2 linked regions of the Drosophila melanogaster genome follow. The protein of the gene in region 2 interacts with the protein of the main gene of each other region in a pairwise test. Each region holds a gene or a part of one and is shown on either strand. Other genes may lie near its edges. The genes, in order: Lapsyn and Regnase-1.

Region 1 (7,824 bases), on a different chromosome or scaffold from region 2:
GAGCGACGAGACTATACAAAAGCATTTTAAGAGAACGCAGGCCGAACAAATTGTAAAGAAAAAGCCTAATAAAATCGAAATTAATATATAAATTAAAATCGAATTAATACGATTTTTTCATTAGCAATTTGGTAATTCAATTAAAATGAATTGTCGATTGAACATGGAACTGAATGCTCTAAGCCTGTAAAACCATTGCATACTTGTTGGCCGTGATGAAAAGGCTTCACCACCAAGTCGGTTGCAAAATAGCTTGCCTACTTTCAGGCTGATGCACTTTAAATTGATTTAGGACAATTTTTAAGTTAAACTAAAATAAATAAATAACGATATATTCAAATAATGTATATCTCTAATATTTTTCCTTATTCATAAAAATACATAATGTTGTTAAGAAACTAAATATCCAAGTCTAAATACAAACTCAATACAGACTTCTTCTTTAAATCAACGTTTTATTGTCATTCGTTATAAAAAATCCACTCCATTGCTGGCTTAAATCTATGTTACGTATTAAACCAAATAAATAAGCGATGGCTTTTGAGCAAGGCAATATTCTTTGATGGCGCTGTTTTTGGTTTTTGGTGATTTTGTGTGATTTTTGGTAAAGGATTCAAGGCAGTTTGCTAGGTAGACGGTTGTCCTAAGGCTAAACTAACGCATAAATGGTAGGTAATAAATAACTGGCACCTAAGACTAACTAACTAACTAAGCAACTAATTAACTAACTAAAGTGCTATTTTCGGGCAATATCACAGTGCAGAGGCTCGTCCTCCGGCTGACGGTTGTTGATGGCGTTTCTGGGCGAGATCACAAACGGCTTTCGCTTCTGGGCATTCCTCTTTCGTCGCTGGGCTCGTTTTCTCCTACAGTGTATCACGCAGAAGATGACAACTGTGGGAGGTGGGAAATGTATTTACTTATGTCGAATAGAACTAATTCGTAACTCACTTAAAAGCACAAAACAAACTCCGCCAAAGCAGCCAGCTCCAAAGAGCCAGAAGCTGCGCGTTTCGGCAAACTGCAGTGTCGTCTGGCAACTGGCGAATGTTGGCGAATGGATCGTTCGATTGTAGGGCAGTGGACACTCGCGGATGTCGAGCGCCTCTGAAAATGGAATTGCAAGTTGGTCATGTGCCAAAAATAAGCAGCTGCTCCGACTGCAGCGCCATCATCGCCATCACTACTTACCCAAGCAAACTGGCACGAACTTCGGACTGGCGCCGAGCATCATAAGATGGTTGGTGACCTGCTGGCAGCCACACTGGCTCAACTGCGACTTGGTCAGATCGATGACCTGCAGGTGGCACATATTCGCCAGGCTGTCGATCCTGAAGTTCTGCAGCGGATTCATCGAGGCATTCAGTTGCCAGAGTTCTGAAGAGAATCGTTCAATATTAGATAGATTCCATATATCTACATATCTCTGCTTACTTGGAAGTATGCCCAGATCGGGTAACTCCTGTAGCTCGCAACCTGCCACGTTCAGGTACTCCAGTGGAGCACGAATGGGCTTCTCCAGTGCCTGAAGATTGAGGGATGTTAGCTCATTGCTATCGATGTATAGGTTTCTCAGTCGCGGCAGCTGGAACAACTCCAGCGGTATCGTTGTCAGTCCATTATTCGAAAGATCAATTTCCTGGGAATTTCGATTAAGAAATTAATTAAAGACACACTCGTTGATTAATTGGATGTCGTTGTTACCTGGAGCGAGGTGAGTGGCTCGAAGGTTCCCACCTCCACCGATAAGATCATGTTATCATAGAGCATCAGAAACTTAATGTCCGTGTATCGCTGAAACGAGCTAGTTTTCAGCTTCCTGATGCGATTGTGCGATAGATCCAGAACCTGCAAAAAACATTCAGCGAATTGTCAGATCATTTAATTTCAGTAGAGAGTTTTGAATGGCATGGGTAGGGTTCCCATACACATCGACTATGCATGTCGGTGTAATGGATAAATTTATGTTTGTGGGCAACTTCTTTATTCTTTAATTAAGCTCAATTGAGGCTAACTGTGACGAGGGGCCCAGCAATGACCAAGTCTGATCGCCTGACCCCTCGATCGTTACTCACCTCCACCGAACTCTTGAGGTTCTGTGGCACCTCCTTGAGGTCCAAGTCGTAGCAACGAATCCGGAGCAGCTTATCGATATGGCCGTACGTGCACTTGCGCACTTCCGACTGAATGATGAATCCGGCGGAATGCAACAACTGGAGGCACACGATGAACGTCAGCAGCTGCCAATGCAGTTCCATGCTCTGCCAAAATAAATTAACATATATACATATAGATGAAAATGTAAATCCAAACGATGGGACTTCATTTCGGCGCTAACTTGTTTATATTCTTGATTAAAACTAGAACAATAAATTTAAGCAAACAATCGCCCATGGGCTCGTCAAAGCGTTTATTTTCGAATTAACAATTTACAAGATCATTGCCGATCGCTGGGGGTCTGGGTCTGGGTTTTGATTGGTTTTTGGGGGTGAATGCGGACTCGCATCCAAAGCTGAATGCATTCAATCAAGCGGATCTACCGCACCTGACAGATGGAATTAAACCATGGCAGCTCAGATACAGATACAGATACAAACTGAGCTCAAATTCGAAGCCTAGGTCAGCTGCTGTTGGCCTGCGTATACGCGATATTCATATTACGTATACGTAACACACAATCAGTGTCATTCCCGCTGCATTCATGCACATCAACAAAAGATGATTCCGCATTGCGGCGGCGGAAACATTTGGCGGCCCTATAATAGTAATAAAAGCAACTAGCCCGAAAAATAACTGACTCACTGCCATTTTGGGAAGCACTTGCCATTGCTCCAATATCTTATCGTGCGGCGTGTAAATCTTTTGATTCTACATCAAACAGCAAAAGGGGTAGCCATAAATCAAACAAATATTCCATTAAAATGCCTTTATGGCTCTTTTCAATATGTCAGATTCACAAAAGCATTTCCCGAAATTTGCCAAAAGCAATATAAGTGTTTTTGGTGAAAATGAAAGCCAATAATCGATTATGGGCCAGAAATAGGAATGCTTCGACGTGATTTATACCTCAGGATAAGTACATATATCTAGACATGATCTAAACATGTAAGCCCACTCGGTATGCACATTTGGGAATTGGAAATGGCCAGAATCCATTGTTAATGTCTCTGTTACGCCCCATTGAAGGGCAATTAGAAAATTGCACGTTTCCCAACTTTGTATCAGCTGGCTTTGCGTGATTTTGCATTGTGAAAAATGTGAAAATGAAAACCGAACAACATGAGTAATGTCTTGAGTATTGTAATTTTCCATTTGTGACATTCGGGCTAATTGCTGTCGCAGCTGAAGTTTTCATCATTTCGCCCAACGAAGCTGAAATTCCCGTGAAATCAATTGCGGGTCAGCAAAAGTGGATAGTTCTATTTACACGAAGCTCAAACGCTTGCTTACCAATGAATGATGAACGACGTCGTAGATATCCATCCATATTGGCAAATCACTTTGAGCCCGTCCAAGTGGCGGAATTAAGACATATGGAGCGCCCAGTTGGCCGATAAGATCTTGGCCTCTTGCAAAGGCAACAAAAGAGTGCTAATCAATTATAAAGTTAGTAACCATTCGTCGTTGCTCATACTAGCTGCGTTGGCTTGGAAAAATTTAAGTGATTCATGGTCCCCATTTAGACATCATGATTCGACCATTTATTAATTTTTGCCTATTTTCCAGCTAGCTGAAGTGTCTTGGCCTTTGACCAAAAAATGTTGCGCTCCACTTGAGAGGCATGTGCTCACGAAATGAAAACATAGAAAATGAAAAACAGTTTCTGCCAATATGTTTGCTCCACTAGCGGAAGCGTGGCGCACACTTTTGCCACCCAGTGTGGTGCGGCTACCTCTGTCATTAGAGCCGCCTGTCGAATCAGCGAAAAAACGAAGCAGAAAATATCAAAAGAAATATTGAAGCGATTTCCACACACATTCTCTTGGACTGACAGCAACCGCAACAATGGCTATAAATATATTTCATATATTTAAATTAAAATTAACCAGAAAAGCCCAAAACAGTGGCCAGAATGAGATGGCAGCATAAACAGTGGCGACCAAATGCAAACTTTTGGATTTGAGGAGATTGCATCGCATCCCCCAGCTGACTGACTTTATTATACAACTTTTGTTAGGGGGCTGGGAATTCAAGGAAATTGGCCATAAAAAGGGCTAATGCCAGGCACCAAATGGTAGATCCACTTGGCGGCTATGGCCATAAAAGTGATCCCGTCCCGCAAATCAAATGGTGAATCCGAATTAGCCTTAGATATTAGTTCTTTGCGAGTTGGAATTATTGGTTGGGGTCACAATTTATGTTTTTCACTTTCGCCGCATTTGTTCAGCTTCAATATTTATTTATATATTATACCCAATCAGGCGGCAGACCAGACAAACAATGCCATGGAAAGGCGAATGGGGTGGCAGAAATGGGTTACGGATCGGAATGGTCCAAGGCGCTAGCGATTCATTCACCCAGCTGCCCGTATCCGACTGTCGACCAACGGATTGCAGCCTGCCCGATATGATAAATATGACGAGGAGGGATTATTTATCTGTTCGCCGAGCCAAGCGATTATTGGACTAACAAAACGCAACATGAAATCGAAAATCCCCCACCACAAAAAAAAAAAATCGGAAGATAAAAAAAAAACACGAAATTAGTATCAAATATTTTAATAACATTCTAAACATTTGTGAATGGATTTATGTGCTCTTGTGATAGTTCCTGTCACACATTGTGGGCGTCGCAGAAGTAGGCATATATTATCGGCTATACCCCGTCCGATCGGCATATATATCTTTCAGCTCCACCCCCTCCCTGGCCGACCCCCAACAGGTGTGCGTGTGTGTGTGTGTGCACCGGAGGGCCCCGAGATTTATTCACATTTCTCGTTGCTACGATAAAGATTTATTTGTTTGGACTCTTCTCTCTCTCTCTCTCTCTGATGCACTGATGAAACATTGCTTTGAGACAACCTTCCCATCTGGGCTACCTTCTCATTACCACCCACCTCCCAGAAATGCCATTGGGTAACAATCATATTTTCCTCAAAAAAAACCGAAGCTTATCAGAGTACGTCAAGTGCTCTTATCGTGTAAGTCCCCATTCTGCTGATAGCTTCTTTCAAAATTATAACGGCGATGCCAAGAACAATAAAAAAAAAAATTAATTGAAACGGCCCCGTAAAGATTGGTGTAGCATAAAAGAGCGTTGTTCATTTATTTCAATTAAACACAATCAAGAAAACATTTGCCCAGGGACTGAAAAAAACAAAAAAAAAAAAAAACAAAAGTATCCAAATACAGTGACTACTCTACTTTATCGGAATGCCAGTCGAAAATATCATATTTCGATCATGTGTTTATTATTTAAGAATATGACATTTTGTATAACTTTTCTTTGTTGAGAACGTTTCCCTATTCTCGAGGCTTTGATTACTTTTCCAGAACACACTGGCTGTAAAGATTAGTCTGCGCCTTGATAAGCAGGTGTTCCCTACGTGTTTTTACCACAGTTAATTACTGAATAAACAGCCCTGCTGAAGCGTTACTTTTAGTAGATACACACAGCAAGTAGTATATAGTATATAGTGAAACTTTTATTTTATCTGCAAGATATGTGTGCTACACACACAGAGAAAGGCTCACAATTGCCGTTGTGCTGCCTCCGCTAATTGAAATCAATTTAACTTGGATTCTATCGCATTATGCTGTCGTGGAGACTCTTTTGGTTGCATATAGAGCATATAGAATCCAGAGACTGGCGCACATTTCAATGCTAAGTTTCCTGATTAGAAAATTCAATATAGCTTACACAGCTGTTGTGCAATCTAGTCGTAGTACTATGTGCACCATTCACGATAACCCGCCAGACCCCATAATACTACCATCAAGAAAGCAAAATAATCAACAAAAAAAAATCAAAAAAAATCCAAACAGATTTTTCCGTCCGCTTACCGCTGGGGAAATTCAAGTGTTCAGGTATAATCCCATTTAAAGTCGGCGATGATAATCCTAGTAAAATGGCAGGATTCTTGTTAGTTCACTACACACACATCACTCTATGCTCTTCTAGGATTCTTCGATTTTCTGTGATCTTTATATATTTTATATATATGTAATATTCAAACAGCTTTATATGTTATATTATCAATATTTTTTAGTTATGATTACGCCGTAGAATGTTATAGCAATCGTTACGGAGCGCGCACGTTGGCCGGAACCGTTCAATTCAACCGCAGACACAGAATTGAAACGATCGTTTCAGTTTTTGGCCTTTCGGACTCCGACAATCCGATCGCCCGAGCAAAGCACACCGAAAAATGCTGATAAAGCGGACGCACGCTCCCAGATGACACTGCACTGCACTGTGAAAATTCGGATGGAAAATTCGGAGTGGAGAGAGAAGCGCTCTCTTTGATAACAGCAATGGAAACTGATACACTCTGCGACTGGAAATTGAATTGTTTTCGGGATTTTGACAGTTCAAATGTGGATATTTCTGATTTGGCCGGCCACTCATTCAATTAGCAAGCGATTGATAATCGAAATTGATACAGAGGCATCTAATGAAGCATCCACGCCAGCTGACAATACAGTTGTAAACGCGTATGAATGATATCGCAACTAACTAAATGAATGTGAATGATATCGCGGATAGTCAGCAATGAGAGCTTGATCCGTATCATAAATGTGGGCAGACGACTTAATTCTCTTCTTATCAACAGGTAAAATTCCCAGGCACCCGTAGATCTCCTCAAGCACGGACATGAGCCCTGTCCGTCCGTTCGCCACTTTTCCACATCGTAATCCAATAAATCCCCGACTGACGACCGCTAATTGCTACCTGGCACCGGGTCTGGAACTCCAGGTATAACTACCAGGTAATAATATACGCTCTATATGGCATTACTTTTCATCGTATTTATTGGTTTGTTTTAATATATTGTTCACAACATGAAAAAGAAATAGTAGAAAAATATGACATTGTGATTGAAGGTTTTAATACATAAACCCATATTCCATTAGTTTCCTTTTAGTTTCCTTAAGTCTTCGATTTGCAATGTTTCTTGTTTGTTTAGGTAATGAAAAGTAAAAAAAGTACGAAAAACATATGTGATTCTTCAGTTGGTTAATCGAGAAAAGAAAGTACAAATACAGTTATAAAGGGAAAAAATAAATAATTCATCTGGAGGAGGTTTAAACTTCACTCCACTTCTCTTCAATTCGCCAACTTTCGTTGATGATGTAAAATTGTTTTAAACAAGGTTGAGCAATTAAATAAATCGTCATCCGCCTTAATAGCTACTAACATATATAGGTTAGTGCCAATTTTATCTAGATTACATTTTTTTTTAAAGTTTTTTTCAATATTTTTCGTTTGTTTTTATACATTTTTTTTCAATGATTTTTCGTTTTTTTTTTTGTTCGATTTTTTTTCGTTTTGTTGTGTTTTTGGTGATAATGTTTTGCATTCCGTATTGATTCTTTAATTAATATTAAAAATTGCTTTCATTTTGGTTTTCCATGAAAAGTCAATGAAGCATCTTGGCTAATCGTGTGGTGTCCTCCTCTTCCCTTTGAATAAGTTTAACTCGTTCAACTTAATGGATAATACATCGCATGTTTTTAGCCAACCCAATCACAATCTCCTGCATGGAGCACATATGAGTCCGATCTGACTGTACAACGGGGTGATCACTGACATTCCTGAAGCTTCTCGCTGATGTTCTTGCTCTGGTAGAAGAGTCGTACGACATGGGTGCCAGTTCCCTTGGTG
Region 2 (4,918 bases):
AGCGATTCCAAGGGAAATAGGCAGAAGATAAAGGCCAGAAAGAGTTGGCATTAAACTAGAGCAAAATGAAGCACATTTAAAGGCCTCTAACGGCAAACGTAGCTGTGGGCATAAATTAAAGCTCTTGTCAGGCGAAAGGCTCCACAGAAATAACCATCTCACATCCTGAAATCGACAAAAAAACCAACACACATCCGCCTTTTGCCAATGTGTCGGGAACTCATGGTTAATCAGCTTAGACAACCTCCGTCATCGGGTTCGAGGCATTTTGTTGTTTTGCCTGCTTTTTTGGGCACATCAAGAGGCCTAAGAGCAAACAAATAACTCGAGTTCGGTGGCCAAGGGGGCTTTTTTCCCTGGAAATGCTTTTAAAAATTAAACAACTGATAAATGACAAAGTTCGTTGGACCAGAAATTATCGTTTGACAAATTGGCAGGCCCCGATGAGAGCTCATCTATTGCCTGGCAACCACGTGGTGAGCAAGTCCTTTTAAGATCCTGCAGATGAAGAGCACTTACGGCGGAGCCAGACGAATTACTAGTGACCAAATGGTTCTATTGACTTGGAAAATTAACTAAGAGAAGATTTTGCGTTGAAGGATTTACGATGAAGGACTTAAAGTAAGGTCGCGAATATTTTCTTTGTTCTCTGTCCTATATGATTTCTTTTATGGCTTTATTATATTTTCCAAGATGTTTTTTGTTCACTTGCGCTGGTATTCAAGTTTCTTTAACCTCTTTTATTGTTACGCTCTGCAACACAAAACTTTGACCACAAACCCGTACACAAAAGTTAACTTGACACTCAACCACCGAAATGTAGTTAAATAGTGCATCATCAAAAAAATAGACAAGGATTCAGAGTACGGTAAGGAAAAGGACTTTACTAATTATCCGTTAAGCAGGAAAAATGCCAGCAGAAAAATCCAAACACGCTCAAAGAGCAACAATAAATTTTACGACGGCCATAATAAAAAAAGATTGGAGCACAAATTTTAGCACTTGTCGTGTGTCTGAGTCAGGAAAAATAGAGTTTCGCAAGGACTCGCCACTCAAAATGCATCCTTATCCTTTAAGGGAAACTCACTTTCCCTGCGTGCGAAGAGAATGACTCGTTGCTTTTTAAGCGGACCCATATAGTATACATATAAAGCCACCCCAAAAAGAATCCTCCCATGGCACACGTAGCAAACTTTACGTCCACTTTTATAGTTTTTTTATGTAGCGCTGTCCCACTAATTGCCACATGACTTGGCCAAAGATGACAGGACGCTGCAGGACGAAAGGAAATTAATGAAATTACTTTAGTGTCGCCGGAAGGAGGGGGCGTATTGCGTATTGTATATGCATTTATCCAATTGCACTTCGATCGTAGCATATAGATATCTATGTAACCATGATAGATGTGACCACTTATACCTAGTAAATTATTGAATTTGTGGCCAACTCGAGGCAGTGCATCCTTTTTGTCATGAAAAGGGGGACCAAACGTACAATGAAACAAAGAATTCAATACGAAAAACATGTACTTTATTTTAACTAATTAAATCGAACTAAGTGAGATCTATAAATGTTGATAGTAGAAATTGTTAAAACTATATTCGAAATACTTTATGTACAATAAATACAATAAAGAAATGTTTATGCATGTTACTAAATCGAAGCTGGTGTTTTATTTAAAAGTTGGGTAGTGTAAGGTTGGAACTAGCAAGTATTATAATAGAATAAATATAAATTTTATATACTTAAATTTTTCTATACGTTTTTGTATGGAACACGTATGTAAATACGTTTAATTGCAAGATATTCTGGCAAAGATTAAAGATTCGTTATTATGTATTAAACATACATATCTGGCGGGCATTTTAAATCTGAATAAGAGGAAGATGAATCCGTTTCCTGTTCTCCAAATTAGTGATGAGCGTATCTTATGGCGCCTAGCTCTACTACAATCGATACCAAGGCGGCAATGCTGTTTTGCTAACCAAAATGTTCGATACAATTCATCGATAAGACCGTGAATGGGCAACCCAGCTCTAGTCTGTAAATGTAAATAGACGGAACTTGCTGCAGAGAACAGCTAAAAACGCAAGGAAGCGGGCAAAACAAACAACAGGAGCGAGCAGCCGAGGGAAAGCCAGCCGCTGGTCAGTTAGATGCGCATCAAGATGGATTGCGAAGTGCAGGAGCAACACAAACAGCAGCAACAACAACAGCAGGTCCACCAGCAACAACAAAAACACGGCAGCAGCAACAAGTTGCCAGTGAGAAAGCAGGAAAGCTGCTCCGACGACGATGAGAGCCAGAGTCCCAGCCGCACAACGGAGCGCCAGAACCTGGAGTTCGCCAAAAAGCTAGGCTACAGCGAACAGTCCATCCATTCGGCGCTGACGCGCCTCGGCTCGGAAGCCAAGCAGAACGAGCTGCTGGCGGAGCTGATCAAGCTGACGGCCGATGCACCGCGGCCCGCCCACATAGGCGGAGGCGGCAGTCCATCCAGCATGACCAGCACTCTGTCCTCCCCGACCGGCGGTAGCAACAGCTCTGGCTTGAGACACATCGTAATCGATGGCAGTAATGTCGCCCTTTCTCACGGCAACAATCTAGTATTCTCTTGCCGCGGCATTCGCATCTGTGTGGACTGGTTCCGGCAGCGTGGCCATCGCGACATCACCGCTTTCGTGCCCAACTGGCGCAAGGAGATGGCGAACAACAACATAGCCGACCAGGAGCTGCTCTACGAGCTGGAGCACGAAAGATACCTGGTGTTCACGCCATCGCGACATCTGGATGGCAAGCGTGTGTCCTGCTACGATGATCGCTTCATACTCAAGCTGGCAGTGGAAACTGACGGCATTGTAGTCTCCAACGACAACTACAGGGATCTGATCCTGGAGAGTAACGAGTTTAGGCGCGTGGTGCAGGAGCGCCTGTTGATGTACTCTTTTGTAAATGACATCTTCATGCCACCCGACGATCCGCTGGGCAGATCGGGTCCAAATCTGGACCTCTTCCTGTGCTCGCAGACGCAGCAGAAAATGGCGGATGCGCAGCAGTTGTGTCCGTACGGCAAGAAGTGCACCTACGGCCAGAAGTGCAAGTTCCGGCATCACAATCAGGCGCCACTGCTGCAGCGCCTCCCGCTGCAGGCCTCCCACAGCGCGCCCCTGCACACGAACGGTGGCCAACAGTTGGTCAGTCCGGGTGGCAATAATAACAATGTTAAGATCAACTCACTGATTAGCCGGGAGCCGCTGGGGCGCACCAAGTCAAATACCATCGAGCAGGTATGTCAGGGCTTCTCCGCTCAAATGGATCTTTCAGAGGGTGCCGTGGAATCCAGCCAGCCCAATCGCCACAAGAAGCTGCAGCGCCAACAACCGCCGCCCGCCTACCGCCTGCTGGTGCCCACCTACAGTGCTCCCCTCCAGCAACAACAACACCAGGCACAGCAGCAGCATCAACAGTCCAACTCCAGCACCAACTATCACCACCAGTATCTGACGCGCACGCCATCCGCCCCGGTCACGGATCAGGGACTGGGTCTGCCACTGCCCGCTCACAACTTCGCCCATCTGTCTGCCTCCGATTCGCGCATCAACGAGGAGCTGCACGCCTCGCAGCAGCTTCCGCGGGAGGAGCAGCGCCGATTGCTGCGCTATCACCTGGGCAGCCTTTTCCCACCGCACCAGGTGCATGCCGTACTGCAGCTCTATCCGGAGGAGACCGACGCCAAGACCATATGCGCGGCTATTCTTAATTTATTTCCGCATAATTAGGCTAGGCTTAAATTTCATCAATATAATTAGATGTGTAATTACACGCGTGTTTCTGCTTAAAGTGTAAAGTGTCGCTTTGGGACGACGTGGAGTCCTCGCTCGAAATTTACATATCCAGGCCAACGATGTTGGCCGTGTCGTAGGACACCAGCCCGGCTACGGATTCCCGTGCGGACTGGCCGCGCCTCTCGTGGATGACCCGGTGGTTACGCAGTTTGTACGCCTGCGGGAATCCCTTGCCGCACACATCGCAGCTAAAGAGAGAGAGCAAACGTGTTTTAAATTGATTAGAATCCTTGATTAATTTATGTCTTCCTTATAACTTATAATATTTAAACACTAATACTTCATTCCCTGTTTATCTAATGTTATTTACGCCTCAGGCACCTAATAAACAATCAACTAAACTCAAAATATTAATATACTACGTAATATTCGTAAACAATAATCTTTTGAAACAGCATGGCTCTTTCAAAATAGTTTCCACTGTGAATTGTACATTCTTATAGAATAAAAAGTATATTTTTATAAACGATTTCCATCTCTCTATATCAAAAAAAAAACTCAATCTGGTTCTGAAGCTAGTGTATGCATAAACAATCTGTGAAACAGTGAAAGTTCGTGCTAGAGAATACGGACTGTAACCGCCAGGGGGAAAGCGAAACTTACACGTGCGGCTTCTCTCCCGTATGAATCATTTTGTGGAACTTCAAGGTGTTGGTGTAAGTGAATGTCTTGTGGCAAACATCGCACTCGTAGGGTCGCTCGTTGGTGTGGATTCTGCAAACGGGTAATTATTCAATCAAATCGGGTTTGGATTGGAGCTCACCAACTTACCTGTGGTGCTTGTTACGCGTGGACAAGTCGGCGAAGGCTGCCGGGCAATAGCTGCATTTGTACGGCCGATTTCCGGTGTGGGTGTTCATGTGGCGTGCCAGCTGCTGAGCCTGGGCGAAGCAATGACCACAGATCCTGAAAAATGAGATTTTAAGTTAATGAAGGCTTATTGAAAATGATTAATTACTTCCACACAATCATTATACCCGAATTAGACGGATATATGAGCTAAAATCGTAATAACACTCCAAAGAACATAGTGAACACGCAGTAAAAACTGTGAAGTTACTTACTCGCACTCG

The links.
Region 1: the proteins of Regnase-1 (region 2) and Lapsyn interact in a two-hybrid assay, tested with the Drosophila melanogaster proteins (one large-scale study listed by BioGRID).

What each region holds. Positions count from the first base shown.
Region 1 is NT_033778.4:21,192,045-21,199,868, reverse strand, and holds Lapsyn (Leucine-rich repeat activity-regulated protein at synapses), read right to left. Parts: upstream 6,299-7,824; 5' UTR 6,003-6,298; intron 2,262-6,002; 5' UTR 2,259-2,261; coding exon 2,076-2,258; intron 1,849-2,075; coding exon 1,705-1,848; intron 1,640-1,704; coding exon 1,435-1,639; intron 1,378-1,434; coding exon 1,192-1,377; intron 1,108-1,191; coding exon 952-1,107; intron 895-951; coding exon 737-894; 3' UTR 438-736; downstream 1-437. Other genes in the region: tud (tudor), read right to left, coding at 7,743-7,824.
Region 2 is NT_033777.3:20,033,157-20,038,074, reverse strand, and holds Regnase-1 (regnase 1), read left to right. Parts: upstream 1-2,018; 5' UTR 2,019-2,156; coding exon 2,157-3,779; 3' UTR 3,780-3,885; coding exon of another isoform or gene 3,886-4,033; 3' UTR 4,034-4,194; downstream 4,195-4,918. Other genes in the region: idc (identity crisis), read right to left, coding at 3,886-4,033, 4,449-4,559, 4,617-4,751, 4,910-4,918.